3 linked regions of the Lepisosteus oculatus genome follow. Each later gene encodes a partner of the first gene's protein in a complex. Links are inferred from orthologs where the notes say so. Each region holds a gene or a part of one and is shown on either strand. Other genes may lie near its edges. The genes, in order: clocka, bmal1b and cipca.

Region 1 (9,637 bases):
ACGTGACAACTAACCAGTCTGGGGCATCGGAAAAATCCCGGTTTGAGGAAATAAACCAAAATAAAGTGAGTTTAAACATGCTTCAAAAGTCATTATAATAGATATTGTATAGATATTGTACATATACATTTAATTTGATTTTTCTGCGGAAGCCAACTAATATTCTGAGAGGCTCAACTGGTGAAGGTGATTACCAGTGGGCCAGGCCTACAGGTGGCCATTCCAGGCTGGGCGGGGACACAAAACAACACACGACACTGCAGATAAATGCTAAAGAATCGATCCACGAACAATGTGCAGTCCCATATTCCAGCTGAGGTGCCTGAGTATATGACATAACTAACCCAATGGCAATGCTTTTCAACTTTTTACAATGGATAATTTTACTATTTTACTGGGTAAGGTCCAAGGCCAGAGGTGAACACTGAGGTCCGTGTTGAAAGCTTTTAATTTCTCACCCACCTGCGCCCAGCTGCAGTTTCTGTCCAGACTAAGACCTGTGCCAGAGAAGACCGGGCCGCAGCAGCGCAGTTCTGTGTCTGACTGTCTTGCTCTTCTCATCCTCCAGCTGGGGCAGTGCTCCCCCATCCAACCCGTCCCAGCATGCACGACAGCCTGACACCCCACCCAGGGCCCATCTCCATGTCCGAATCCCACTCGTCATGACCTCAGGCTACACAGATGCAGCCCAGTAGGCTGGATTTCCGCAGATGGCCAGGACCCCTGGAAGCCCGCGGTTCCGTGCCGCTCCTGGACAGGGCCGGCGAGACCCTGCTCCAGTGCTGTACCCTGCACACCCGCACCAGGATGCCGAGGGAGGGCGGGGCAAAGCAGAGGCTGCCTTGAGGAGCCCCGCCTACAGGCCCGCCCCCTGTGGAGCCACCCACCAATCATTCGCCTGGAGCAGCCCAGAAGGAGGCACCAGCTTCTTATCACACTGATCGCTCCTGTCATCTCAAACTGCTGTCAGCAGCTCCTTGTGAGTGTCACACTGGGGTCACAGATCAAGTGGCCCTGTGAACTGTCCCCTAAGGCTGTGTATTCAACACAGAGGACAGATGGCATCCCAAATATACACCAAACCGGGGGATATTCATGCTTTATTTACATTGGACACGGCACTGGATCTGAGCACTTCGGTATTGGTGCTACTCTGAATATTTCAGTCAGCGTGACACAAACATGTTTTTGTGTCCACTGACATAACCTTGTAAAGCTAGTTTTAAGGCATTTAGAGGCCTTAAAGGGGAACAGCTATTTTCATTCTTCGGGGTTAGAAAGAATCTGCGTTGATGAGTGTATTTCAAGCTGCAATGAAATTAAAATGTACACAGTAACTTGTAAAATCTCGAGTTTACATCACAAACTAGACAAAATTTCGGCACAGTGCCACGTCCTGAGATTCAAAACAAGGCAACAAAACTTCCGGTGATAGCAGACCTATGACATTGTAATCAAACAGGCTTGTGAATACGTCTCTTTAATCCAACAGAAATACTGCTCTTGACTTCCAGACGGTTTTGCCGACAAATACTACTTATTTGTTAACTCTGCATGCAGATCACGTTGGAACATCTCTGCAGTGAAGTGTCTGCTGCACAAACAGTACTTATTCGCTTGTGCATCACAGTGAATCAGTCATCACAGTGAGCAGCGAGCAGGAACGGCCACAAGAGTTTGAGACAACATGGCGATTTACAGTACTTTCAGAAAGTCCATGATTTTGTGTTTAATTCGGAAGTTGTCATTTTTTTTCTAGAACGACTGTGAACGTATTTTCAATGACGTAACCGAGACTTAATAAGCGGTCTGAGAAATCAGGACTGCAGCTGCCCTTGAAATGTCACCCTCAGCGTGATGCGGGTCATAGGACTTGACCCGGGGGTACCTGACAATCTCTGGTCCATCTGCTGCACCCTGCACCCCTCAAACTGAGGCCATGCCTGACCCCACCACCACCCCAGTAGCTGTATCCCCCTGAAGCTTCCAGCTGGCCGCCCACTGGAGCCCAGCAGTGTGAGCCTGGTCAGGACCTGGAGGGGAGACTCCTGGGAGAGCTGAGGCTGCTGCTGGAAGAGGTGTTAGTGGGGCCAGCAGGGGGCGCTTACCCTGCAGTCTGTGTTGGTCCTAATGCCCCAGTATAGTGATGGAGACACTGTATTGTAAAGAGGTGCCGTCCTTCGGATGAGACGTAAAACTGAGGTCCTGACTCTATGTGGTCATTAAAAATCCCAGGGCGTTTCTCGAAAAGAGTAGGGGTGTAACCCCGGCGTCCAGGCCAAATTCTCCCTCTGGCCTTTACCCATCACAGCCTCCTCATAATCCCCATCTCTGAACTGGCCTCAAACCCTCTCTTCACCTCCCCAGTGAGAGCTGGTGTGTGGTGAGCATACTGGTGCACTCTGGCTGCTGTCACATCATCCAGGTGGGGCTGCACACTGGTGGTGGAGGGGATCCCCATTACCTGTAACGTGCTTTATATAGTGCTTTTCTGGAAAACACACTTAAATATTATTATTCTCATCATTGATGAGAGCCATCACCAGCTATTTCATCTTAAGGGAGGCAAAATGATCAAATTTTCCTCTATTTCTTGCCTTAGCAGTCTGAACACTCGAGTAGGTGCACACACGAAGACTTAAATTACCATGCCCCGTTAAAGAAGTATAATTCCTGCTAGGATGCTCGTGCCAGAAGGTGGTCGACCACCGAGACACAGCGAAAGCCTTCCGCTGGATAAGACACCCCTCCTCCTGACGCCAAGAGCACCACAGGCTAATGCTGATGCTGATGCGTTCAGCAAACGCAAACAAGAGGCGAGCAAAGAGGGGCCTTTTTATCTCCAGGAATGCAACTAGAATGGAAAAACAAAAAAAAACTAGACGTTCTTTTGGTGGGGGGGGCTGAAAACTGCCCATCTGTGACCGATCTGACGTTGACCTCGCCTCTGGCCCAGTACGGCTGCGGTCCACTCGCGCAGGTGAAACCCGACCTACTGACCCCCATTCCCCGCTGGCCAGTTCCTGCCCCCTTCCGTGCGAAGAGACTGACCTCCGCAGGAGCTCAAACCGGCCCCGGGATCAGGACGAGGTCAGGACTCACGACACCAGGGGGGGGGGGCACGGCTCCCATCCGACGACAGGCCGGGCGAAACGCTGCCCGTCCGGCATTCCAACAGGGAAGGCACCCAAGCCGCACACACCCACCCCAGCCCAGCGCACTCGGGTTCGAGCCCAGCCACAGGTGGCACAGTCACACCACCCCCGACTGGCACCCGGCGCGCCGGGAGGAGAAATAAATACGCGGACAGGCGAGGGTCACAGGTGCACAGCCGGCCGCCCCCCCGTGTTATAAAAACGGAGGAGGCGGGAGCGGCGGCCGTGTGTGCGCAGAGCAGCCCCTGACAGCACTCAGCCCCGGCTCCCGGCGGGTCGGGCTGCGGCGGGGGGGGCAGGGGAGTGTAGCGTTAAGGGGGGGTACGGAAAAGGAGAATCGGGGGGAGGGACAACACCACCACGACAACCAAACAAAATGTGGTCCAAAACCCAGCCGGCTCGTCTCCGCGCCGGGCCGCCGCGCAGCCAGCCCCCTCGCTCGGCAGCACGAATGTGGGTCACCAGGCCCCGGCGCCCCCCGCTGCCCGAGCAGCCCCGGCGGCCCCCCCCACCACCTGCCCTCCCGCCCCGCAGCGGCCCGCGCCCCCCCGCCTCGGACCGGCCGCCTTACCCGCTTGCGCTCCGCGGCTCCGCGGCTCTCCGGCTCTCCCCTCCTGCTTGTTGTTTTGGTTCAGATGGCCGCGCCGGGCTGAGCCGGAGTCACACAAACAGCAGGCCTGCCTGGGGCTCCGCGGAGCGCATGCGCGCCGGCGCCGGGAGCGCGCAGCGCGGGCGAGCGCTGGGAGGCGCCCGCCCCTCTCGAAGCGCGTGCACGGGCAATCCCTTCACGTGGGCGCGTAAGGAGTTCCGCCGGCGGGGGGGGGGTTTCTGGGTTTGTCGCTGTGTAGCCTTCTGGTACAGTAAAAGACAAGAATGTGGGATTCATACGCACCACAATGGTACACCCCCCTGACACAAGACACCCACAAAGCAAGTTATTGGCTTTGTGCAATGCTGTAGTTGCTAAAAATATTCCAATCAACTACGATGCTCATTGAACCTCGGATTGCACGGTCTAAATTTTCATTTCTATGCTGACGATACTCAGATCTACAGTCTCTGCTCTGCTTAATTGCATCTCTGACATTAAAAAACGTGGATGACTCACACTTTCCTTCATCTGACCTGCGACAAGACTGAAGTCTGGCTACATAAAGCCAGTGCTGTAACCCTATCTGTGGATGGTACTGTACTTGAGTTTCAATCAAAATTGAAGAACGTGGGTGTGATATTTAATCCAGGCTTGACATCTGACCCACATGTGTAACATGTTGTCAAAATATCATTCGTTCACCTCAGAAATATTGCCAGGCTGTGTCCTGTGTTATCACTAACTGTTGATGACAAGCTGGGCAACAGCTCTGGTTTTGTTCTCGTCTTGACTGGGGTAACATTCTCCTCGCTGGGGTGTCTAAATCCACACCGAACAAACTCCAGTATGTCCAGAATTCGGCAGCCAGAATCCTGCCCAGGTCTAGTGCGAGTGATCACATTACTCCTGTCCTGGAGTCCCTGCACTGGCTTCCTGTCAGGTTCTGTGTCGACGTCAAAATCCTCCTGCTCACCTACAAGGCTCTGCATGGCTCGGCACCTCAGTACCTGTCTGAGCTCTTATTATCACCGTACTCCCCACCTCACTGCCTTCACTCCTCTAGACTGGTCTCCCGTCTGTCCCCCAAGCCCGTCTACACTCTAGGGGTAACAGGGTCCTCTCCTGCTGCGCTCCACAACTCTGGAACTCCATCCCCAGGGATCTCAGAGAGTCACGTGCCCTGAGCTCTTTCACATCTGGACTGAAAAGTGTTTCGAGGCTTTTATTTAACATCCACTGTCTCCTCTCATTGTTTTTTGTTGTTGTTCTGTAAAGCACTTTGATAAGCCACGTCGTTTAAAGGCACTATATAAAAACAAAGTTTATTATTATGTCGCTGTTGTTGTTGTTGTTAGCTTACAATTCTTCCCTGATCTTAAATAAGATCACTTTAGTGGCCATATACAATTTCTCATATTAGGAATTTGTTTTTTCGCATACCCCTGCTTGCTCTCCATGAGACACACAGACGGGGAGAGAAGCTGGGGGTCAGAGCGCAGGGTCAGCCATTCATACGGCACCCCTGGAGCAGCTGGGGTTAAGGGCCTTGCTCAGGGGCCCAACAGAGTAGGATTCCTCTGCCGGCTGCGGGATTTGAACCGGCAACCTTCCAGCCACAGGAGCAGATCCTGAGCCACAGAGCCGCCACTTAAACCCTGCTAACGACCCTCCTGTAGTGCGAAATGCAATGTGTAGAACTTGTTGTTTTGTAATTCGGGTGTTATTAAAGACAGCCTGAACACTACACGTCCACCCCCCTTAAAAGAAGAACAGCGCTTCGCGAGCCGCAGGCCCCGCCCCCGAGCGCGTGTCACGGCCCGGCCTCCCCGCGCCGCTCGCCGGGCTGGCGTCACGCCAATCAGGTCAGACGCGCCGCGCAACCGAACTTGACTGTGCGGGCAGGGGGGCGGGGTCAGCCGCCGTGGTCAGCTCGTCCAATAACCCTACGGTCTGGGAGTGTTTGGTCAAATACTGTAGGTCCGCCCGGAGTTCTCTGTTCTGCACGAAGGCGGAGCGGCGGGCTGGACAGCTGTCCTGTGCCGTGAGCCTTCCTCCCCGGACGAGCCTGGAACACGTTCTCTGATTTCCATTCCGGTGAAATAAAAATTGCTTGCTTTTGTGTCCCTAGGGGGCTGTGAACCCTTTGCTAATTACGTGAAGAAATGTTCACTCACTCTTATCATCATCATCATCATCATCATCATATAATCGTCATTTCTCCGCATTTTGTCTCGATGACCAAGATTTGGAAAGCACGTGAATTATCTCCGTCTCCTCGGACTTCGGTCTTTAAAATCACCAACAAACACGTTTGAGGGATTCAGAACCACGAATCCCTTCGCGATCGTTTTCCACGCTTTGTTCTGTTTTAAAACTTCTTTAACAGTGGGACCTGAACCACAAGCTTCTGAGTGGGTGCTTTATTAAGCTACTGTACACCTTTTACTTCATATTCTGTGCCAGTAAAGGCGAACTTTGATTTTCATGACCCCCCTGTCCCAGTTTAGGTACCCTGAAGGTTTAGACATAATATTTTAATTTCCTTTCTCTCAGATGAGATTCTGCAGCTACCTCTGAAAAATAGCTTTGAGTCGCAAGAAAGGAGTCTTCCTTAATTTCATGCAAACCTTTTCTAAAGTTAAACTATATAATCAGACAGGTCGAAATCGTATTTTAAAGTTATTTCCTTCAGTCGGGGTTTGGTATATTTTTTTAAATGTTCATAGCTACCGCCCACATGCTAAGGAACAGACACCTGTTGGAGCTGTAATAAGATTCTCATGCCTTACTTTGCATACATATCATACTAGCATGAGGAATAGGTGGATTTAATAATTACATTGCTGTGGCCAAAGAACTGATTTGTTTCTTTGTTAAGGTCTCTGTGAATGTGAAGAACTAACTAGGACAAACAAGTACATCACTGTGTATCTCTAGAGTCTAATTAATTTAAATATTTTGAATTCAATTATATTATTAATATTTAATTTCAATATTAATTTCATTAATACTTCAGATCAAACGTTATAATAATACATTTCTCTAGGGGCAACAACACTCAAGGACGGGATGCTTTGCGAGTGTTTGGTTTACTCGGTGAGGCGTTTGGCTCTGTCTGCCTGGCGAGAGCACGAGGACACTGGAACCCCAGTCAGACTGAGGGAGCCCAGGGTGGGGGCGGTGCAGAGGAGGGGCGCCGGGGCTCAGCACAGGTGGCTGGTTGGGCGGTGATGGCGGCTCGGTGCGGCTGTGCTGTCATCCCTCCTGCACCTGGCTCCCGGACTGCAGGAGGGCCTGGCTCTGGACAGCAGAGGAGGGGCTTTCAGAGCGCAGCAGGGTCGAGCAGCCTCGTCTCCCGCTGCTGCCTTCGAGTTCGGGCTCTGGCCTGGGACAGCCGCGGGGGGGTTTGTGAAGCCCGGGTGATGTCATCACAGTCCTGCGATTAGCAGCCGACTCAGTGCCAGGTTACGCTGGGCACATGTGGCCTCCATCACACAGCATGAGATCCTCCCTGTAACCAGCTCACAGTTCACAGTCTTCAAAGCCTCCCCACGGTCACTTCGCCTTCCACTGTCTCTGATACATCTCGCTTCGAGTGACGAAGCTCGAGGCCCGCCCCTCAGTCGTCTTTAATTCACGCTTATCAGAGTCTGCAGAGACCTGGTCTCGAGGTAAACCAGACACAGGTAGGCAGTGAAGTGTTTTAATAGCCAATCCATCACACTTACCTGTCAAATCTAATTGACTCATTGACAGGCGTTCCTCATCATCAACCTCAATCATTCTGTCCTGCGCTGCCATAAAACGAAATATCCACGCAGCTAAATGGCTGCTTTTCATGCTACAAAATACAGATCCATCAGGGTGTACTGCAAGCTTGAAAAAACATGACTACTATTTCAGCAATATTTCATATTTCAGTAGAAGATCACAGAACAATTGTTACCTTCTTTCTGCATGAAGAAGGAAAAGCACTGAATAAAAAGAGCAGACATGAGGAATGTCTGAGACACCCATGTACAGACTGCAGTATGTGATGCGCTCCACATACGAGAGAAAGAGAACGATATTCTAGACACCTGGTGATAATGGCCAAATACATTGGGATCATTCAGTAACAAAAGAGAAAAAATAAAAAATAGAATGGAATATTTCATAATATAATCACACAGGAAATAACATTAGGGAATCATATAATTAATATAATAATTATGTAAATTATACACACAATAATCACAGAAAAATCACACAGGCATCGCTCAGGATTCACGCAGGGCATTGCACTGGGAATCGCATAGGAATCACGCAGGGAATCAAATGGAATCACACGGAATTGCACAGAAATCACAAGAGAATCACAGGAATCGCACTGGGAATCACACGGAATCACTTAGGGAATCACAGGACTCACACAAGGAATCACATGGAATCACACAGGGAATCACACAAGGAATCACACAGGGAATCACACAGGAATCATGCAGGAATCATGCAGGAATCACGGAATCACACGGAATCACAGAGGGATTCACTCAGGGAATCACAGGACTCGCACAAGGAATCACAAAGGGAATCATACAGGAATCACGCAGGAATCACAGAGGGAAACAGCCCCAGTAACCTGGAGCAGTATTACAATACTGTATACCGCCTGCTGTTACACAGCCTTAATAGATGTTGTTGACACTAAACCTTCAAAAGCTTTTCCCTGGCATCGTATGTCACAGATTAATGACAAAGCACGTGTCTGTCCAGCTACAAGCCTTTTCAAAGCAGCCTTTCTTTAGGAAAGTGCAGTTTTAATTTTTTAACCCTGTAATGATGAGAGAACCACTCATTTTCCAGCAAGACCACTTTACCCTTGCCATTGGACAGAGATACATGATATCATCATTGCCATGTACCATATGTATATATATATACAGTAAATGTATATATTTGGGAATGGATATGATGCCAGTGAGCAAATTAAGGCTGAAGGTTCAGAACTTAACGGAAACTGAAATGAAAAGATAAATCGATGTGTACTGTTATCGATGCTGATCTGGAATTTAAAAAGCCATTAATAAATTAACCAACACAAAAGATCGTTTGAGATCTCCTCAGTTTTCAGCCTTCAAGGAGATTAATTTAAACTTCACACGGTGGGGAAAATCCATCTGGCACAACAGTGGTTAAGCAATTCAAAGAAGCTACACCAGAGCATTATGGGATGTGACCTACCTTTAATTCCACTGAGACTGCTGCAGCTAAGCCAGGCTGTTTTGCATGCTAAGCACAATGATAGCGAATTCTTTTTCTCTCCCAGTGTTTCTCTTGGCTTTATTTTTGGGGATTCCTCACAGATCTGCCCAGCGGTTCCCTTTCTTCTGTTGAAAGAGTCAGTGAGCGGAGGACGAAGCTGCGCAGCTTCTGTGCTGGCCACCGTGGGTAGAGAAATTTTCCAAGAGCCCAGTGTCCTCGCCCGAGACGAAATACATTTCAGACGCTGACCTCTGGAAGCTCTAGCGAAGTTAAGGTTCCGAATGCCCATAAAAATTGATTAACAACGAAACATCAGAAATAGGCTCAACAGGTTGAACAGATAATTAACAGCAGAATAATTAATTAAAGGAAACATTGGAAGGCTAAATATGTGAATATTTATTTCGTTATGGTGCTCTTACTTTATTACTTAGGAAATGGTGATTTAGATTAGTTTGGTATTTATAGCTATGATGTTAATTAACCTCTTTAACAGATAGCACATACAGTACCTGATTGATTCTTAATGTACAACTTGGCAATAAATCCTACCTTCTCTCGACGCGTCGCTACCGTTTTTGTATCTGAGCAAGAACAATGCAGCCTTTTATTCTGTTTCTGTGCTCTGTTAGGAGTTTCCCAGTCT
Region 2 (9,727 bases), on another chromosome or scaffold:
AACCCTAAAATAAACTCTGTTGCAAACTAACACAATGATAACATATTTAGAGACTGTAAACAAGGCATCTGATCAGACATCCTAGTTTACAATAATGTCATTTACATTTTAAAGTACTCTTCGGTGTACAATAAGTCTCCATTTCACCCCTTTGAAACACTTCTTTGAAATATTCATTTTCAAGGAAAGGGTCAGATTAACCTCTTTAACAGAATGCCCTGACTTTAGTTAATGGTAGTGCAATAGGAAGCAATTGGAAAGGCAGCTGTTGCTGTTATTGAGATTGAACCCAACAGTATATACAGTACATACTCTTACACTATAGTGTCACTGGTGTCAGGTAAACTGGAACAAAGACAAATACCTTGAGCCTGCACATAATGCAGTCTGTTATAAGTTAACGCTTTAAAAGGTGTTCATGGCAGAAGAGCATAAAGCTTAACTGAATTAATAAAAATGGTTAAACCAGCTTGCTTTGGCGAGTAAGCTGCAAATGTCTTACATTTTCAATGGCCTTCGAAAAGCCAGCTGGCTCAGTGTACTACACTGTCGCAGTAAGCTGACTACACACATAATGGATACACTGCTGAATGACAATGCATTTCCCGAGACACATATAGCCTGCTATATATGGAACTGTATCTCTTTCTATAGAAATACTGAAACCAATGTACCCAATCCATTTGCTCTGATACAGGAAAAACGTACAGTAACACGATAAGGGTAGGGACATGTGCTAAGCAAATACATCATAACAGAGCAATACGTAACCAGTAGCTTTTGCAGACTGTTATTACAGTTGATAAGCACCACATAACATGCTTTACGTTACAGAAATCTTTGACAAATTTGATATTAAAAATAAGTCAAGTTCACTTGAACTTTAAACTAAATGAACTCAGGAGAAATCTTCCAGTAATTTCACCCACAAGAAAAGCGCTGTATGTAACATTTCAATTTTATGGATATAAAGCTACTATAAATTGCACAAAAACAGGGGTATGAAATAATTTACTCCTTCATATTTAAATATTTAAGCAATTACGTAGCTTTTTAAGAGAGGATTAGCATGCCTGTGTAGAACCATTAACTATTAAGATAGATCTTAACTGTACAGTACAGTTAAGTATATGAAGATCATAAAGCACAATACACAATATTGGAGATACACAGCAAAACACCTTATGGTCCAAAATGGAAGGGGAAAAAAAATCAGTGTAACACAGTTATGTTTCAGTGACAGTAAACATCCAACTACAGTAGGTCATGTTTTCCATGACATTCATTCTACAGAAAAGAATAAAAAATGCTATTGGATTGTTATTGACTCAACCAATGCTCATCACAATGTTTTGTTTTAAATAGCCCCTATCCTACCTTGGACATGTGAACATCTATGTTGTCTTTTCAGATTAGCTTAATTGACATTTCAGCACAGTCGAATATTTGACACTCACCTAGCATTTTAAGCAATGACAAGGATGGAAAGCATTTCCTATAAAACATTAGACGTTTCATAGGGCTAAATATCATCTGAACATTACAGGGTGCCCCAATCCTAGTGATGGTAACCTGCGTGTCTGCTTGTTTACCATTTATATTGGAATTTCAGTTACTTTAACTGAACAAATGGAGCGCTTTAATGGTGACTTTCCAGTATGTGTCAAGTAATTGAATGTTGAATGAGTGTAGATGTGCAAAGAGAAATTCGATTAATTCCAGGAATTACTATGTTTCCAAAAAGAGGTGCAAGAGAAGAACTGCCAGTGTGCGCTAACTGCAGGGAAGCCAGTAAAGTCGAGTTCGGCACCAAGAATTAAACAATAAAGCGATCTGCTGGAAAAACAAACCAGTATACAATGGGGTCAAAAGGACCCAGACTGTGAACTCAGGTCCAGCGGGAGTGTGTGTTGGTGCTGATATAGTTGAATGGACTTTGTTTAGAAAATATTTTTATCATCCTTATCATTTTAAAGTCATTTCCTTCTTTCTCTTTCCCCCAAGAGAGGCACTGCAGCGTATAACTACTGAGCCTGCTATTTTGGTGTCTTCTTATTAAATGTCCAACTACCACACTTGGAAGTGCCCTGCAAAAGATAATTCCGGGTGATACTGTACAAATGGAAACCAGCCGAGGTCTGCTTCGTGTCCGAAAAATTTATGAAATACAGCATCGAGCCAATTCACCTGGAGTGAGAGAAATTAATTTCAGTTGAAAGGTGGCTACAACTGTGCGTGTATCACTCAAACTTTTCATAATCAAAACTGACTGACTGATTTGTGATCCATCTTTAATTGAAGAAAGTACTGCATAAAGTAACTTAAATCCTTAACAGACCAAAGGTATCTGGAATGCACAGTAATACAGTTCAGACCTATATAATCACACTGGTTATGTAAACAGGTTTCATACAAGAACAGGCTCTACAATAGTTGTGTTGTTGTAAGAGCAATCACTTTGAATGGAACTGTATGTTCTTTAGTTCTTTCTGACTTGGGAACACCGGCACTGACTGAATAGCTGTGTTATTATTTACCTTATGAGGGGTGTACGTCAATAAATATTATTTTTTCTTCCCTGAAACACAGGTAACGGTCTCTGAGCTTGCTCTCTACAAATCCACAGAAATATATTTCCTATCTCTTCGTAATACGATGTTTTGCTATAAATTCTTCCCGTGAAATTTCACGCAGATTTCTATTGTCATATGCGATTGAAATAAAATAGCAATTTTAAAATTGATTAAAATGGTTTCCATGTACAGTGCAAGCACTTTTATAACAACAGTGGTGCTTCAAACAGTACAGTACTTTCCATATGGATAAGGACTCCACTGGAACTTTGCAACGACTATTAAAGGTAGTATTATTATACTTACAGTAGTATTATTATATATAAACAGCCAAACTGCGATACATAAGTATACTATTACATGGCACTACAGAAGAAAGAAGCTCCCAAACATCAGAAGCTGAACAGTTAAATATTCTCATGCGTAATACTAGCCAGACACGGAGAAGAAATAAATGAGCAGAAATTAGACACGACAATAATGAGCAGGCTATCTGTACAATCCCGGTCAGTAAATTCCTGACTCTGGTGGCCAAAGATCAGCTTAATTGTGCATAAGTTCAACAAATATAGGCAATTATAAAAACGTAACGCAGGAGGAATCACAAACTGTTTCCTTGGAATTAATTTCTTAGGAGTCCCAAGCTAGCTGACTAAAAGAGCCCTTTAACTCCTTATCTTCCGGAATCGCCGGAATATTAAATACAAGGACACCTACAACGAGGGTGAAACGATTCCATTTTTTTTCTCATCTACAAGCACAAAACAGGCAGCCAGACCCAAACTAACAATAACCAACAATCTGATATTGTTTTAAATTGCAGAAATCAGCTGACGGTTTCTTGCTGGAAATGCAACCTCTCGTTAATTATTTCCGTGTAAGGCAATAAGAGTGTTGGTAGGCCTAAAAGAGCTAGTGAACAGAACAATCCTACCTCGCAACAATGTAACAGGTAGTTAGAAGATGAAAGGAGGCCAATGTCCTGGGGGAAATGACAAATTCCCAAGTACGGTAATAGCCCCTACAGAATCGCCTCCGTGAACACTGACAGCTGTCAGTTTGCCTGTTGACAGCTACGAAACCAACTAGCTACACATTACATGCTTAGATGTGAAATAAGGCATTTTTTCACACCACCTCCGAGTATCTGAATGTGTGCAACATTTGACCCCAATAAAAACCCTATCAACGCGCCCGTGCGATGTACCGTATTTAAAGGAAACGCACGCGTTTTCTGAAGAAAATCTTAAATAACAAGCAGTCGTATAGATGTATACACGTTATTTTTTTTTTTACAAAACACTATCCATATTCAGTTTGGCACATGAGAAATGTGAAGCAAAACCCCGATTTCTTGAGGCCACTGTAAACGAAAACAGACTTTATCCTTCGCGATATGAAAGCACATCCTACGCCTTTAAAGTTATATATACATAAGGATTGCCCCTCCTCCCGAAATCGGCAATATATCCTGATTCGGAACAACACGTTACATTACAGTGTTACCTGCTTTTATGTCTGCGATCTCTCCTTATCAATATAGAGAACCAAGCCGTAAAATACTGTGCATTGTACTTACGTGATGAAAGTTAAATAAGCACATTTAAATACAGGGTAACATGGACGGTGATAAACAGCAGCAGTCTGTGACCTACTTTCTCCCTTCTGTAACTGTCGTCGCACCACTAACCTACTTTTCAACCAATTATGTCTTTGGAGCGGCCTGCATAGTCCTCGCAGCCAATCGCGCCGGGCTGGGGCAGCGCCTGGCCAATCTCGCAGGGCCGGATAAAACAAAGGAGCATTTCGCGTTGCGCTCCACGCCACGGGCGCGCAATCTCGGAGAGACACGGCCAATAGGAGGAGGCTTAGGAAAGCGAAGGAGGAAGGAAGCCTGCCGCCGACTTGGAAAAATGGTGAATCACCGAGCGCTGAAGGAGGAAATGTATCCACGACTTCGGAGCCGTGCGCGACCGTGGCACCCGATTACTCAGGCGCCCTGTGCGGCCATAAAGTTGCACGGCTTGAGTCGGATGGTTGCCTTGGCTGTAGTCACAGCTTCACACCGTTGGAGCCAAGAAGTAGACTTTGATCTTTAAACCCACCCATTTCACTGACCCGTGTGAATTTCAAGAAGAGAGAGTCTGAGCAGCGTAGTTGACAGCTCGGTGTGGCGCATCGTGCCTTACAAATTACGCGCAGTGTTCGCAAAATACAGCACCCAAGGCATCTGTCTTCAAAGAAGGCTTTTTTTTTTATATGCGTTGATGTCTTCTGCATCAAGACATTGTATATTGATGTCTTTTACAATATAGTTTCTTACATTATAGTTGCCAAGCACACACACCAGGTTAAAGGATACCCAGCACAAGATATGATTGTAACAGGAAATGGACATCGTAAACTAAAGAATGGGATTCAGATCATGGACGGCGCTGAAACCAAAAGCAAAATGCGCCACCTGTTGGAGTTTTTTTATATACATGGTCACTCTGACTCAAGAGTAGTGTTGCCACGATTAAGTAAAATATAATAATATCCATTACAAAAAAATTACATCAAAACTATGCCTCTTTTGAATTTTACTCATATTTTACCTCCAATATAAATGCATTTTAGAAGGCATAACTACACATACGCACTCTCTCCCGAATTACAGCCTTAATTTGTCAGTTCAGTCTGAAATCATCTTCCGAAATAATTGTATACCAATTGTGGAAAAATCAATTTTATTTAGTGAAGACTGAACCACCACACCTATTTCAAATCCGTTGATGTTCTTTTTAATACACATATTGAAAAAAAAAACCTTATCTGTTTTGTGTTTAGAGTCAGAATTACGGTGATGTAGAGCACACCTTTTAAACGACTATGATAAACGTCTGTGACGCTGAAGATGGATGATATCGTTACTTCAACGACATGTCATCTGTCTTTACTATATAACTATTTTCTTACACTGGTAAACTAGCCCAAAGCTGCGCCCTGTGACCTCATGCTTTATTATAGTAATAAAATGAAAACCCCTCGTCTTATGTGCGTCTCCTACACAGTATACTGCCATTTCCTTTGGGAGCTGTAAGAGAGATCTTCTTAATCAGTCTTCACACCAGAGGTGTCCATCTGCGGTCCTCAAAGGCAGCTGGCCAACAAGGTTTATAGGTACTTTACATCTCCAGCTTCTGAACAACAAGGGAAGTCTTCAACGTGTCCAATTAAATCAATAAAGAGTTGAATTAGGCAGTTAATGACTCGGGTGGAAAGAACAGCAGAAATCGTCCGTGTCTTTATCCACTGCAGTTTCCTGTATGGTGGGTTTGCCTCTTTCAAGCAGATTTCCACAGAAGCCCGCGCCATTCTCTCAGAAGCGTGTCCTTGTGCCACTCAGCCTGGCCACCGCTGATGAGAAACTGATATGGGCTGCAAGCGGAGATCTGATTAGGAATGTATTGGCCCTGGTCTTCGATCATAGTTTTGTTGGTCCATCGGTTTTTATAGCTGGGCTCCTTGATGTGAGCCATTGATTCTTCTTCATTTCTCATCCCAGGATCCCCTTATGGAAAAGTAATTGTTCTGGGCTGGGGGAGGGGTCCTATTGCTGCTGGCTTTGGTTTCATGCTGTCAATTATATAATCGAACCGCTAACTGAACCTAATAATAGGATTATTTGGACTCCTACAATTGCTCGTAAACACGTTTGAGGTTGCCTTTTAGCTATAACATTTCATCGGTAATTTAAGACCTCCAACTTTCTTAGAAAGAAACTTGCAAAGGTCAAGCAAGGTCTCAGTTTCCACTCAAAGTAGATTTAAAGTAGATTAAATGCTTGCACCTGCTGCGCATTATGGTTTAAATAGAAATCAAACTCATTAGCGAAGCAACGCTTTTAGTTGTAGTTGATTGGTTTCAGAGTTTCAGCTCTGACTTCCCATTGGTCTACGTGTTTGTCAGTTAAGGGGCGGATCGGAAACTGGGAAGCGGCGTCTGATTTGAAACAGAGTTACAGTTTACAGTTGTTACTTGTTGTTTTGTTACTGCCTTCTTTGATTTTGAGAAACCACTTTTTTTTTTTTGCTATCATGTCGCGGAGAAAGAGCAGTCACGGAAAGTCGCCACGAAGGCGTAATGTGGTTTTGGGGTTTGACGAATTTGGTTTCGCTGTGTTAGGTAGAAAAGATGTGAAAATATCGCCAGGCAGATGTCACGAATACAGGTAATGCTCAGACTACTTTATCTTGCTAGTGCAACTGCACAAGTCTAGTTTAAGGGTGGTGATTTTTATACCACACACAGTGTATCCATTATCTTCAAAATATTTATGGGAAACGTGTCGCTAAAGTAAAACAATTTGCCATTGCTAAAAGAGAAACGAGAGACATCACGGGGACATTTTTTACAGCAAACTGCTATAGTTATAATGCGTCATTTTGAATGTTTTAATGACAGCATGCCCTTACTATTTATAATAGCCCCACGTGTTTCTTAATCTTCTGTTAATGGCTTGGTATAAAAAATTATAAATACTAAGTCAGCCCCCCCTTAATAATACGAAATATTTTGAATTACCTTCTTGGAAGAGAGACGCCGCAGTTCATGTTAAAAGTAATATTCCCGAGAGTTTGACTGGGTTGAGAATAGGTAAATGTGTATATATATATGTAAAATTGCATTCTTTTGAGTGGAGTATTAAAATACTGTTAGGTAATACATAGAAATCACCACAAGGTCAATAGTTTCCTGGTCGGTTTAACATATATAATGTTTTTGCCTCCTTACAAATTCCTCATTTTACATTTTCATTGCTTATGCATTGCTTTTTCATCGCTTGGTGTTTAACTTTGTTCATTCCATTTTAATAGCTACCCCAGACCAAATGCTGTGAAGGTGAAGGAATTGTGTCATTTGCTCAGCTACTGGAATGGTTCGAGTTTCATCTGCAAGAACCAGGTAGCTTGGTGCTGTAAAGTTAAACTCTATGATCACAGAGAAGGATCTGGTCTTGACTGACAGCACATAGAGCTGTTGAAAGTACAGACCTACTGTAAGTCAGATGTGCAGTGAGGCTCGCAGGTGCTTGCTCATCCCGTATTCTGAGATGTCTTCTGGGACCACTGCCTTTATTTAATATTTCTCCAGAATTCCCATCTCTTTTGCCATGTACAGAAATGTATGTTAACCAGGATAATTCCGTTTTTACTGAAACATGTTGTAAGTTAAATGGAAGGCTGCAATGTGAAATTAAAATTCCATTTTTAATTATCCCCAGTGGCATACTCAAAGTTGTAATGTGTTTTTTTTGGTAAATAGCAGAATAGTTTAAAAATATTATTATTATTATTATTATTATTATTATTATTATTATTATTAAAGCTCTTTTATTGAGTTTTTATTTTTGTATTTTTTGCATATATGTACATAAAATCTGATATTGTGCTTTGGGTGTTTATTTCAGATTGAGCAATTTATTAAAATAGGGCTTCCACCTGAGTTACGCGGGCGTGCATGGAAGTCTCTTCTGGATGTTGAGTCAGTGAAAGGTGGCAGTCCTTTCAATTATCAGGTACTGTGCCTTTTGCAGTTTTCACATTTTCCTGGGATTTTTTTTATTACACTTTTTTTATTATTTGGCCTATTTCTTTAGTTCAGTGAACATGCAGAATTTGTTAACAAAGGTACTCCACAGTTTGCTTGATTACCAGTGCTGAGGGGCAATTGGAATCTTGTTTAGCAAGAGTGGATGACATTCTCTCTCTCTTTTTAATTTTTCTGAATTGTAGTAGAGATTGAGATTAATTTTTCTTTACAAGTTTTTTTGCCTGCCTGCCTCTCCAGGTAATATGATGACACATTAGCTACAACTATAAATTACTCTGCTTAGCTTCCCAGTAATCCCTGCCTACTTCCTTGAGGTGATCTATCCAAACAATTACTAGGTCAAACCATAGTTGAAGTCTGAGATCTGAAGGCATTAGGTTTAAAGATACCCATTGCATTTTCACATAAGTGTGCACTTGAAACTAGGATAATCCAATTCAGTATTCTTTCAGATCATAAATTATTTTTATGCATTGAGTTTGAGTAAAAGGTTTTTTTTTTTGCACTGATTCATATTAACTGGCACCAAAAAGTGGTGTCTGTAACACCTGGAACCATATCTTTGACATTTTAACAACCTATCATTCTTTCAATGCTAAAACATGATGAGTGAACTTCATTATCAGGTAACTTAAACTCATAATGAACTGTACACCACTATAATGCCAAATTGTCAGAGGTAACAAAGGGGTTTCTGTTTGTCAGTTTTTATAATCAGTTGCATAGAATCCAGAGAATTCATGAAAGACATCTGCTACACAATTTTAACAATAATTTCTGCATTTTTCTTTAGAACTGTCTCAAAGAAATTCGAAGGCCTCTCGTTGACCTTGGTGTGACGGAGTATAGTATCCGTTCTGCAATCACCATTTTGAGTGAAACGGAGAATGAAATGAGATGCACAGAAGATGGTCCTAATCCCAGTTGCGAGTTCACCAACAGTGATGTTGTCATCTTCAGACAAGTGGCTCTTGACCTCCGTGAGTATTAATTTGAAATCCTAAACAAAGCCTACATTCAAAAGGAAAAATAATCTTAATCTGTTGTAATATGAGAGTACAATGTTTAATAGCTTTGTAATTAATCTGGTGTATAACCTGCTAGCTATTTTCTAGGAAAGCCTTTCTTAGATGCATCTTAATTCAAATTTTAGGCATGTGTTTCTTTTAGCCTCATCCTCTTTGGAAATCAAAGAATTGGAATAACAGATTCACACCACTGATAATTCTGGAAATATGGTATCAAGATTTTTTTAAAATTATTTTCTTGGTTCTCCCCTTTTAGTTATAATACTTATTAGGTGAAAAGCTAGGTTTGTCTGCCATTATTAGACAGATTAGCAAGAGGAAATGGTCCCTTCAATTAGACATTATTTTTAGATCATAAGAATACTGTACGTGAGTCAAATCTTTTTGGTTATTTTTTTATCAGTAACCCATATCGTTGTTGAATTATTTTCACCCCTTTACTGCTATTTAAATACTTTCTTTCCATTATTCTTGAAAGCATGCTTTAAACTCGCCTTTTACACCTTGACTAAAGCAATCTATAGGTTTTTT
Region 3 (10,586 bases), on another chromosome or scaffold:
TGCGCTGGCTCTGTCCACACGGGCGGAGGCCGAACCACTCCGCTCTGAAGAGCCAGAAGCACTCCTCTCTGAGGAGCTCTCCCCAGGGTGAGGGGCTATTTTGGGGTAGGATTTCAGGATGGGCAGGTACTTCTGCGATCGGCGCCTCTTGTCCTGGGGTCCCTTCTGCGTGTTTGTGATACCGTTAGAAATGACAGGCTGGAGGAACACAACCTGAGGCTGGGGAATCACTTCTATAGCTGGTTGAAAGCCCCAGGGCTTCACAGCAGGGGGGCAATTACTTGCCTGAAACCAGACAAATGTAGCAATCATTTAGCTATTTTTAACATGCAGATTACATAAAAAAAATATATTTACTAAACCTAAAGATATTTTGGGCACTACCACTAACCCTCCCTGTTGAACTGTGCACAATGCAAAAAGACTGATGATTTCTCCAATCAGATGATGGAAATTAGTTAGGAAAATTAGGAAAGAGAAATCACACTCACATAACAGGTTATGCTCCTTTGAATCATTAAAATGGATGATTCAAAGGAGCGATCAAAGGAGTGATCATCTTGTGTTACACAGACATCGGACACACAAACAGCAATAAATCTATATCACTGCCAAGTTAATGACGGTACAGATTATAAACTCTGAAAGAGCCAAACAGGGAGCTCCTCTGCACCTGTTTCAGAAGGACGTTGTTCATGATGATCATGGGAGAAAGGCCAGGGTAACCTCCCCCCATCACTGCCAGCTGTGGCAGCTGAGATTTAGACTTGATGCTCTGGGCTGAGGTTTTCTGTCCATCCTCAGCATCTGTCTGCTCCACCGCACTCAGATACTCAGAACTAGCATCTGGGAGTCAAACATATGGCAGGTCAGTCAGCGCTGCGAGCTGAGGGCAGGTAAAACAACTATATTAAATAAGGCAAAGTTCCTATCAGAAGGCATTACCATCTACTGCAGCAGTCAACTTAGAAGAGGAGAGGACCAACCAGTGGAACACTGTCAGCATTCTTTCAACTCCTGCCTGGTTGGTCCAAACCAGCATTTTTAAAAAAAGTACACTTCAAAGTAATACAAGACACTGTATCATGATAGCGGCTTCATTTGAAGCAGACGTTAACACAAAAACGAAACCATAATATAAGCTAAAACAAGCTGACACAAAGAAAAGGAGTCTGGCCATTTGGCACAGATTAGATTTGATCTGGAGCAGTCCTGCCTCCTGTGCAGGGCATTTGAGTGGGGAGCTGTATCAGCATGTGAGCTGCAGAGGAACAAGGTGTGATTAACTCGACAATGACAACCAAAAAAAATAGAAGGAAAAAGGTTTTGGCTGAGGAGACAGCAGAAATATGAGGAAAAGGGATGTCTGAGTCTATGGTTAACCCTAAGCTGGAATTGCACAATGTCCCAGCCGTCACCAACCACCTAACCTCTACCTTTCTCTCCTCTCCTTTACACCAGGACTTCAAATTCAGGAGAGTCTGGTCTCTTCTGGCTTTTGTTCCATTCTCAGTAGGAACAATCAGACAATTAACCCGCTTTTCTAAATTAAGAGGATAATATTATTCATAAGGTGTTTTGACAGCTGATTACACCATACAAGGGTACAGTTACACAGATATCACCTGGGAGCCTGGCTAGAAGTGTTACAAATGATGCAGCTGACGAAATAATCAGGCAACTATGCAAGTGAGAACGGAGGTGGAACAAAAACCAGATGATACCAGCATCCCCATAAAATGAGCTGTATCGCTCTGTTTTATCCATTCCTGCCTTCCTCGCCTCTCCTGGATTTCTGTGCCTCTCTTTCTCCCCCTCCTACCAACTCTTGTGTTTTCTTTAGCCCCCTCCATCCTTGAGCCCACATTCCTGCTCTCTTTTCCTCTCATAATAATAATAGTAATAATAATAATAATAATAATAATAATTGCTTACACTTACATAGCACTTTTCTGGGCACATCACTCAAAGCGCTTTACAGGTAATGGGGATCCCCTCCACTACCACCAATGTGCAGCCCCACCTGGATGATGCTTTTTGTCCCCACTTTCCAGCACAGAACCCACATTTATTTCGTGCCATGCACATTCACAGATGTGAAGGGATTGTGACAGGAACAACAGCCATGAGTAGGCACACACCTGAGAATCCCGAGTCCCGCTCCGACTCATTCCTCCCCTTGTCTGGCTGCAGGTTTTTCAGCGTGTCCATCATGTCAGCATGCAGCCCCGCTGACAGCCTCCTGTGGCTTTCTGCTTTCCCTCTGTTACTCATGGCTGATCGGGCTCTCTGCGTTCAGCCAAGGAGCATCTCTCTCACTCGGGGGACTGTCTGTGGACCAAAGACAGGGGCGAACATCAGCAGGGAAGCATCGCAAGCAGACCTGTGTCAGCAGCAGGCGTAATGTCTCTTACATCCTTACAAAACACGTCCTCGGTCTTGTGTGCTAGCCGTGCGTCTTATCCTGACAAACTTTAATTGGGAGCCCCAAGGAAAGACGTCCAGTGTAGCACAGTAACTTGTCGAGTTCAGCCTTGAAGTCTGTAAATCATCCCCTGCATGCAGAAGCCTATGAATGGGGAAACAATGTTTTAATGCCGTGCAGTAGATCTGAAGAGTTTGGGAAAAGCAGAATAAGTATAATTCTCCAGATCTTTCATTCAATGTGCTGTACCAAGAAACACGTACGTTTCTCTATTATCTCATCCTAATTTTTAAGAGAAAAGGCAATTATGTGATGCTGTTAATCATAGTTAGTTATACAACTTCACCAGACACAACGCATTACAGCACTGAACAGAAAGCATTCCTCCTTACATACCAAAGCTAATGAATTCACAAAGGCCAACAGTGACGTCAGTAGCAAACTGCACCAGAGACAAAAACCAAACATCTCGGAAACTGGGGCAGACTGAATAAAGAATAAAGTATTTCTCTCTTACGATCTTCTTTGAACTAAATATCTTCAGCTGTGGCCACAGCGAAAAAAACCAATATAAATAGTAATGTGTTCTTCGTTTTCTCATAGACCGACAAGCAGTTTAATTTTAAGATAGCATTTATGACGTAGCTAGTATGAAAGTGGAAAATGATTCGGTTCCGAGAAGTGTAAAAGCCGGCCACACTAAAGGCCGTTTCACTCAGCACTGACTGTACAAAAACGAGAATGCATTTCGTTCATCAAATCACAATTTACACAATAAGTAAAAATAATCGCACTTATGCATGTTGCCATCCGACTCTCGCAGCGGCATATTAAACCCTTTGTAAAATAAAATTACGTCCCACGTTGACGAATACACTGCACGTACATACATCCCAGCGATGCAAGAACCAAAATATTATCGCAATACGATAGACACGCGAAGACTGTAGAAGAGTCAAATGTTTTCTGCATTTGTTTAACGTCCTATTCAAGGGAGTCTGCTTGCTCCTTGCACAGATTCCAATCGTTTCGGCACGGCAGAAACTAACCCAAGATTTGCCTTATCTAGATTTCTTGCAGCCCGAGCTGTGACTGTAGCTTGCTGGCCTGTGACATAGTTCCTGATACACGACGCACGACACGCGACCAACACCACATCCCTCCGGATACACAAAGTCCCGCATAGATAGGTAAAGGTCATCGCCTACTTACTCACTGTCGGCAGCTCGCTTAAAAACGTTAACAGGTTAAAAAATAAACACCTTTTCTTCAAAACGCTGCTGAAGAAAACACAGCATCACGACGATAACAAGCTATAGACTCCTTCTTTTCTGTTTTGTTTACGACTCCATGAGTTCGTTTACGGCGGGATCCAGCAAGCGTTGCCAGGGGAGCGTTCGTGACGTCACTGTATTTTGCGGCGGAAAATCCCGCCCATTGTCCTTTTACGGCCCTCTAATTGGAGTTCGGTAATGGCATTGAGCCCAGAAACGTGACCCATAAAAAAAGTTTATGACTTGTACAACAGGCATTCAACTCTGACAGAAGTCCAAGAATGATAATGAAAGCATATCCACACAGTACTTGTGAAGTAAAAAAAAAATTACAAATTAAAAAACTTATCCTCCCTTGAGCAAGTCTTCCTGTGGGCTTCGGAAGCCTGGATGAAGTTCTTCCAAGAAGAGTGAGTTGTATTTATGAGTCATGCTAAAGAAATAGAGAGACCCCCGTGAAAGTTTCTTTCTGAGAACTGTAGCTTCAGCTTTGCATATTTCCAGTGGTTTTAACCCTAGGCAGATTTGTTCTGTTGCATTTTTTGTTTGGTGGACAGTTGGCTCTGTACAAGTAGAGTAAAATATATATATATGTTTTTAAAAAATGACACACAATTAAAGGTTTCATAACAAAATGAGCAAAAGCAACATAGCCTCAAAAACACAGGTTCTTACTTAAAAGAAAATGTGAAGAGGGGAATGCCTTTTCATTCAAATTACTTTTAGAACAGAAAAGTTAAAAGTTAACTGGGAACAAAGCTTTGAACTTTAGATTTTCTCGCTGTAATTATTGTCTATTAGCTTGACCTTTTCAGAGACTTTCATGCCAAGTACATGGTATTACTGGTGTCATATATACAGAGTAGGTATCACTAAACTCCCATTCCAAGGGAAAGTAATCTAGTAATCTCTCAGATTTAGCCACTAAACATTTGACAATCAGATACATTTACATTATAATAATAACAACCTTAATTTTATAAGCAATCTTCGATTGCTTTTCGATAAAACAATCTAACAAGAGAAACAGGCATGTACAAATTAAATTAAACAGAATGAAAAGCTAGAGTATAAATGTGATTTTTGAAAGTGCTGAATGCCTGGGGAGATCTCATGTGGACTGTCCTGGAGCATACGAATGGAAACCCCATTCTCCCAGAGTCTGGAGTTAGGTTTTAGGAACTGAAAGAAACCCAGAGTCCAACAAATGTGCTAGTGTGTAGGGAATTAACAGTTTGCTGCAATTATTAGAAGGTGTTCTATTTAAGCTCGTGAAAGTGAGCTTCAGTATTTTGAATCTGGTTCTGAGATCAACAGGGAACCAGTGCAAGGAACCTAACCAGGTGGTCCAGTTCATGCTCATGAATTTTACTTTTGGTTAAAGTCCCAGACACTGAGTTGTGAACATGTTCCAACTTTTTATGAGCATGTTTGGATAAACCCATAAGTAGTTCAGGTGGGTAGCTGCGTCAGCATGCGTAGGCTGCAAAGGAGCATTTTCAGCACGGAATAAACCTATTACTTGTTCCTTTACACCCATAAGTGCTGCTTTAGAATGATCAAGCCTGAAATACACTATATCTTTTCTGCAGCAGATTGGGAGAGATGTGTATAGCTAAATGCAAAGTCATGAAGATGAAGAGCCACTGAGGATGCAAGCTTTGAATTCAAATATCTATAGCGCGTTTCTAATCACAACTCTTAATATAGCGGACAGGGGACCCATCTCACCCACCACTGAATAACACTGAGCGAGACTTAACCAGAAGTGTCAGGAAGTTCAAGTATGGTCAGGTTCTGTTATTGATTATGAGTTTACTTTAGGCCCTGAGTGGTGGGCTCTGGTGACCACATCTCTGTATTGAACTAGGTGGTTATTGGAAATTAATGCACATACAGTATTTGCCTGAATTTGTGATTTAAAATGTTTCCAATGTCTTGACCAGGGCTTTATATAAGTAACATATATATAATGTATATGTGATATAATGTGGAAAGATTAAGGAAATCTGAAATAAAAACACAGATAACCCACGGGCTACCCCCTTTTATTTTCAGTTATATGAGCACACATTTCTATATTATCTTTGTACTGACAAGGATTTGAACACTCATTGGGTTAAATATAATGTATTATTTATTAACAGTAATACATTTATATATACAATGTACAGTATAAACACAGACTGATCCTGCATTGCTTTTATTTACAATAGAAATTAGATTTCAATACCATCCTTTTTAATGTGACAAAGCATACAGTATGTGGTTTTACATCAATCTTGGTATTGGTGTTTCTGCCTGCTGTGGTAGACTCTTATTAATAAAATAAAAAGGTAAATTTAATGATTTACTGGTTGTTTAAAGCATTATAACATTTTATTTGCATTATTAGAAAATACCAATATTTTTCTAATAATCCACTGCTTTGGCAAGTCCCTTCAAATTGTCAAAAAGAACAGATACAAAGGTGTCAATAATTCCAGTAAAGAAATCTCACAACAGAATTATTAGAGGATGCTTTCCAAAAACAACTGTGATTTTGTTTGTTGTAAGAAGAGAATACAATAAAAATGAATCCTTGCTGTTGTCGGTGCATGTTTTCTTATTAAAGCACAGACTAAATAATGAGTCCAGTACTTTAGACTCTTACAGTCTTTCACACAGCTTGCTCCTCTTTCACTGCACACCGCACCCTCCCTGATTGAATTAAATTAAAAACAAAGGAGGTGAAGTGATATAAGCCTTTTACTTGTTTGATTCAAGTGATCGCAGTACAAAATGGAAGGTCTCTGTACTGCATATCAACAGTGCTGAAGGTTTAGCTGTATCTGCAGCTTGCGATCCCTGGTAGGAACTTGTCGAAATCTGCCTGGCTGGGGTGAAACGAGCTGAGAACAGACCACAACACAGATGTCACCATTATCTCGTTAGGGAGGAGGGATGACACCTCGAAAATCGCCCAGCTCCGTGTGGCCGGTGAAGATCTGCTCTAACCCTGCTGGGATTGCTACACGTTCCATCAAAATCAGGCAGCGCCGATCTCCACTGCGTCACGACACCGGGTTTTCTTCCGCAAGAGAATCATACATCGTCTATTTATCTGGGTAGATGACGTCACTTCCGTAACGGTGAACGTGTAGTGAGCTGTTACGTACTGTGGCAACCTTCGTCATCAAAATTGGTTTTGCCCATGTGACAAAAATGGAAGCATTTCAAACACAAGGAATGTTAATTTAGTCAGTTAAGCGCTCATCCTCTCCTTATATACTGAAAAAATAATACATGTCAAAAATCCTCATAAGGAATGTTGAGAGTGTTCCAGACTCCCCTTTCGTTTCACTTTTTACTTTCTGCATATTCTATGTGTATGACGTTCTACCTTTGCGTTTAGAAAAATATCCGCTTATTGTGCAAAATAATTAGCAGTTGATCTGGCCTCCCCAATTCAGATTGCCTGAATCTTCTTTGGGAATGGTCTTGGATAGGCTTTACATTAATTTTAATCACCTTTGTCATTACTCAGTGTTATCATTCGTGATGATCCAGTAGTGCTGGCGAACATCATTTGAGCCATAAGCGATACTGGACTTGGGTGTTCCTCTGTTTTGGCCAAGTGTGTAACACAAGACTTTGTGGATGTTTTGAAACATAACAGTGAGGTTTCTCACAGGCAACAATGTTCTCATTTTTGGAATATATGTTTAGACAGATTGCTGTTCTCTTTTCTAAACGTCAGCATCCAGTGCCAAGAAAACTATTTTATTCCTGGGACATTTCATTATCTTGTCTTGGATTTCTCAGCTATTGTTTCTTTTATGATTGATTGTGCATTGTGGTGCCACTAGTAAGTCATGCACCAGTTTACAAAACCCTCATACATAAACAAGAAAGAAAGTTCTATAGTGGTTCTGCAATGATAACCGTTTTTAACGCAACCCCACTCGATCTCCCCCACATATGAACTCACGGACCTGGAGGAAATGAATTTCAAAGCATGATCTTGCTAGGATCTTTTGCAATCGATCTTTAAATAATATTGTAGATTAAGGAAGATCCAAAAAGTCGAAATGATACATTAGGCGAGCTATATGGCTTATTTTGACCAAAGATCAAGTAATGAAGTGTCCAAAAGAGAGTTTAATACTTGATGCTATAATACGTGGTTACCACTAGATGGAGACTGCCACCTATTGTAGCTGTGGAAATACCACGTGAAATCAATTACAACCTCAGAACGAACTTTATCTCACCGGAAAAGCTTTTTAATGACTATTTGCCGAGTGGCTTAGTAACATTTCATAGTTCGGGCCATATGTGTGCTAATTCCGAAACAGTCATTTGTTTGTTTTCTTATATAAAATTAGTCGGTGTTTTTTCTTTTCTTTTCAGCATCTCATTCTACACTGTCTTTGTTCTGTCTGCTCCTGCTGTTCCGGAGAGGTTTTCTACGCAGTGGCTCAGTTTAACAGATTTTTAAAAAAAAGAAATCTGTGACTGCAGGGGAAAGGGTATGTGACAAACCTCCACTTTAACAGGGAGTCAGACAATAGCGTTGAAGGGATGATGGCGGCAGGACCAGCCACGCTCTGAAGCTGAGTTAGTGGGGTCATATTCTCGCAGTCCCGGACGTTGGACCCGATTGAACACTATCTTTCTTCTTGTGTCCAGGAAAAGGCTCGGTACAGAACGTGGATTACAATAGCAGGAGTTTTGTAATTGGTGTCTACTGCCTCTATTCATTGTAATAAATACTTGTGTCGTAAGAAAAAAAAAAGAAAACGCGAGTCCTCCAAGTTGAGTCTTTAACCTTGAGCCTTTGTCCTTCATGGCGAAGTTTCCCTGCCCACCTGTCCTGCCAGGTGATGCCAGGGTTTCTCTTTCAGGTCTCGGCTGGCCTGGCTGACCCTCTGACTGCCTTGCTCCTGAGAGTCCCGCCCGTCACTGCGGGTCGCTCAAGCCCAGACGAAGAGCACGCAGTATCCCAAAAGTGCATAAAAGACTGCCAATGTTGTTAAGTCTGACTGGAGAAAAGAAATAAATACAGTGACGACAGCGGCTGCCGTTCGGTTACCTGCGAGGAGGCTGACACCTGTTGGGGGAGACAGGAGGACAAGAGGAAGTCGGTCAGGCGAATGACAAAGCCAAAGGAAGTCCCCTCACCAGTAACATCACCAGGTGTCCAGCTTCTGTCCTCTGGTTTGAAAGTGTCAATGCAATAGTGTGCCAACGTTTCCCCACAATCAGTGTCGTGCCTTACTGCACCTCTGCTTATCTCAATGCGCTGTGCTTTGTTACAAATGGCACCATTTGTACAGTGCTATGCCACTGTTTCAGTTTTATTTATTCCTAAAATACATCAAATAAAATGTGGAGATGGTAGTGTAAAACCTTGTGTCTGTCTGATAGCAGAAGCACAGCCTCATGCCTTTAAGTGCCTTTAACAGATCGCCACCTCGATCTGCTGGCTTGGAAGGGACATGTCAGCCTCTCCAACAGCCCCGGTCTTAGCCATGTTAGCTGTTGGTGAAAAGGAGGGCCCTAGATGAGCCTTCTTTGGGACTTCCGTTAGGGTGGGAAGGCTACATTATAGTTTGCCATCTAGTCTCCTCTATATTAGAGACAGTTTATGTGCAGATTGCCCTACCATGCTACCAGTCAAGGGTGCGATGTGTTACAGTGCTTTAAAAACATTTCCTTGCATTTGTATAAAGCTCTTCATCCCAAAAGACCCTGAATCTGCTTTACAAATAGGAGGGGATCTGCCCCATCCACCACTGAATTGTTGCTCACATCTGAGTGAAGTGTGGCCGCCATTTCGCATTAGCACTTTTAACAACACAGAGCAGAGAAGGGGGAACTGGCTTCACTTAATGAATTAAAGGGGGAAATTAGGGGGGCCAGACTGATCCATCCCAAAGTGAAATTAATGCAGAGCAAAGGGAAACTTGTAGTCTTACAGTGCCAAGGGATCATCTAAGTAGTCACTTGGCACTACCTAGCAAAAACACTACTCCTAAATGTCAATCATGTAGGTTGAGCAATTTGAGACATTATTTGATAGCAGTGCCTGACCACACATGGACAAAATGGACACTCATAATCACATCTGCAGGATGCAAAAGGCCAAGAAATAATCGCAATTTGATGTTCTGAGCTACCCCTCTGTCACGGTGATATTTGTGCTTCAGCATCATGCTCTCCTGAAGCATGAGGGACAGGGTTCAGGCCCCCGTCACTAGGCTGGACTGATGCTGTGGGCCAGGACGGCAGGGACTGCAGTTTCAGGTTTCACGTGAGCATGAACTTACGTGTCGCAGTCTTTCGATTTCTGCTTTTCCTTTCTTTTCCTTCCCTTCCCCCTCTGTCTCCTCCTGAAGGAAAGCAAGAGCACAAAAATACAAGGGCCTGTTATGTCACCTTTTACAAAACACTGGCAGCAGAAGAGTGAAATAACCTCAATACTGCCTCTAGTAATAATAATAATAATAATTAATAATAATAATAATAATAATAATAATAATAATAATACCTTTCATTTCTTACAGTGATCTTCCTGAGTCTGGGGACAAGAACAGAACATATGCTTTTAATAACTCAGATTATTGTGATTTATATTCTTGTTACTGAAAGGGAACATAAAACAGCAAAAGAAACAAATGTTATTAAGCAACATATGTTACACTGAAAATGAGTGTCTAAGGAGGCACTGTAGATTTTGCGATGGCAATATGAACTTGAAATTTAGGAATGTAACCCTTCTATTGGTGAAAGGTAGAAGTTTCACATGATTACATTTGGAAAGAAGGCTTTAAAGGTCAAGAATGCCTCTAAAAGCACACATCACATGGAGGTGGTCCTGTGTGCTATTTTCCAACTCTTCAATT

Evidence for each region.
Region 2: the proteins of clocka (region 1) and bmal1b are in contact, whole or in part, in a crystal structure (PDB 4F3L), measured with the Mus musculus proteins. The link is inferred for Lepisosteus oculatus from reciprocal best matches to the Homo sapiens genes CLOCK and BMAL1. Residues at the interface, in NP_001276755.1 of Mus musculus: Arg46, Gln49, Phe50, Leu53, Ile54, Glu56, Leu57, Met60, Leu61, Pro62, Lys70, Ser71, Leu74, Gln75, Ser77, Ile78, Phe80, Leu81, Arg82, His84, Lys85, Thr88, Glu95, Ile96, Gln98, Asp99, Trp100, Pro102, Phe104, Leu105; in XP_030097882.1 of Mus musculus: Lys70, Met71, Phe74, Ile75, Glu77, Leu78, Ser80, Leu81, Val82, Asp93, Leu95, Leu98, Arg99, Ala101, Val102, His104, Met105, Lys106, Leu108, Arg109, Gly110, Ala118, Tyr120, Lys121, Pro122, Phe124, Leu125, Asp127, Asp128, Glu129.
Region 3: the proteins of clocka (region 1) and cipca are in contact, whole or in part, in a crystal structure (PDB 5VJI), measured with the Mus musculus proteins. The link is inferred for Lepisosteus oculatus from reciprocal best matches to the Homo sapiens genes CLOCK and CIPC. Residues at the interface, in NP_001276755.1 of Mus musculus: Gln519, Leu526, Lys527, Leu530, Arg533, Ile537, Asn540, Ile541, Arg543, Gln544, Glu547, Leu548, Ile551, Gln554, Leu555, Val558; in XP_006515773.1 of Mus musculus: Asn401, Thr402, Val405, Leu406, Ser409, Leu411, Ile414, Thr415, Thr418, Leu421, Ile422, Asn425, Thr428, Gln429, Leu432, Leu435, Lys436, Thr439, Gln440, Phe442, Ile443, Thr446.

Annotation. Positions count from the first base shown.
Region 1 is NC_090696.1:77,751,936-77,761,572, reverse strand, and holds the start of clocka (circadian locomoter output cycles protein kaput), read right to left. Parts: upstream 3,898-9,637; 5' UTR 3,727-3,897; intron 1-3,726. UniProt on the Homo sapiens protein: Transcriptional activator which forms a core component of the circadian clock.
Region 2 is NC_090716.1:8,949,234-8,958,960, reverse strand, and holds the start of bmal1b (basic helix-loop-helix ARNT like 1b), read right to left. Parts: upstream 4,342-9,727; 5' UTR 4,153-4,341; intron 1-4,152. Other genes in the region: TBC1 domain family member 10A, read left to right, coding at 6,653-6,786, 7,433-7,520, 8,026-8,133, 8,962-9,148. UniProt on the Homo sapiens protein: Transcriptional activator which forms a core component of the circadian clock.
Region 3 is NC_090703.1:9,789,992-9,800,577, forward strand, and holds the start of cipca (CLOCK-interacting pacemaker a), read right to left. Parts: upstream 3,812-10,586; 5' UTR 3,688-3,811; exon of another isoform or gene 3,638-3,687; intron 3,586-3,637; exon of another isoform or gene 3,475-3,585; intron 3,161-3,474; exon of another isoform or gene 2,822-3,160; intron 2,570-2,821; exon of another isoform or gene 2,415-2,569; intron 2,332-2,414; 5' UTR 2,275-2,331; coding exon 2,142-2,274; intron 847-2,141; coding exon 674-846; intron 286-673; coding exon 1-285. Other genes in the region: pgfb (placenta growth factor), read right to left, coding at 8,770-8,791, 10,011-10,073, 10,232-10,261.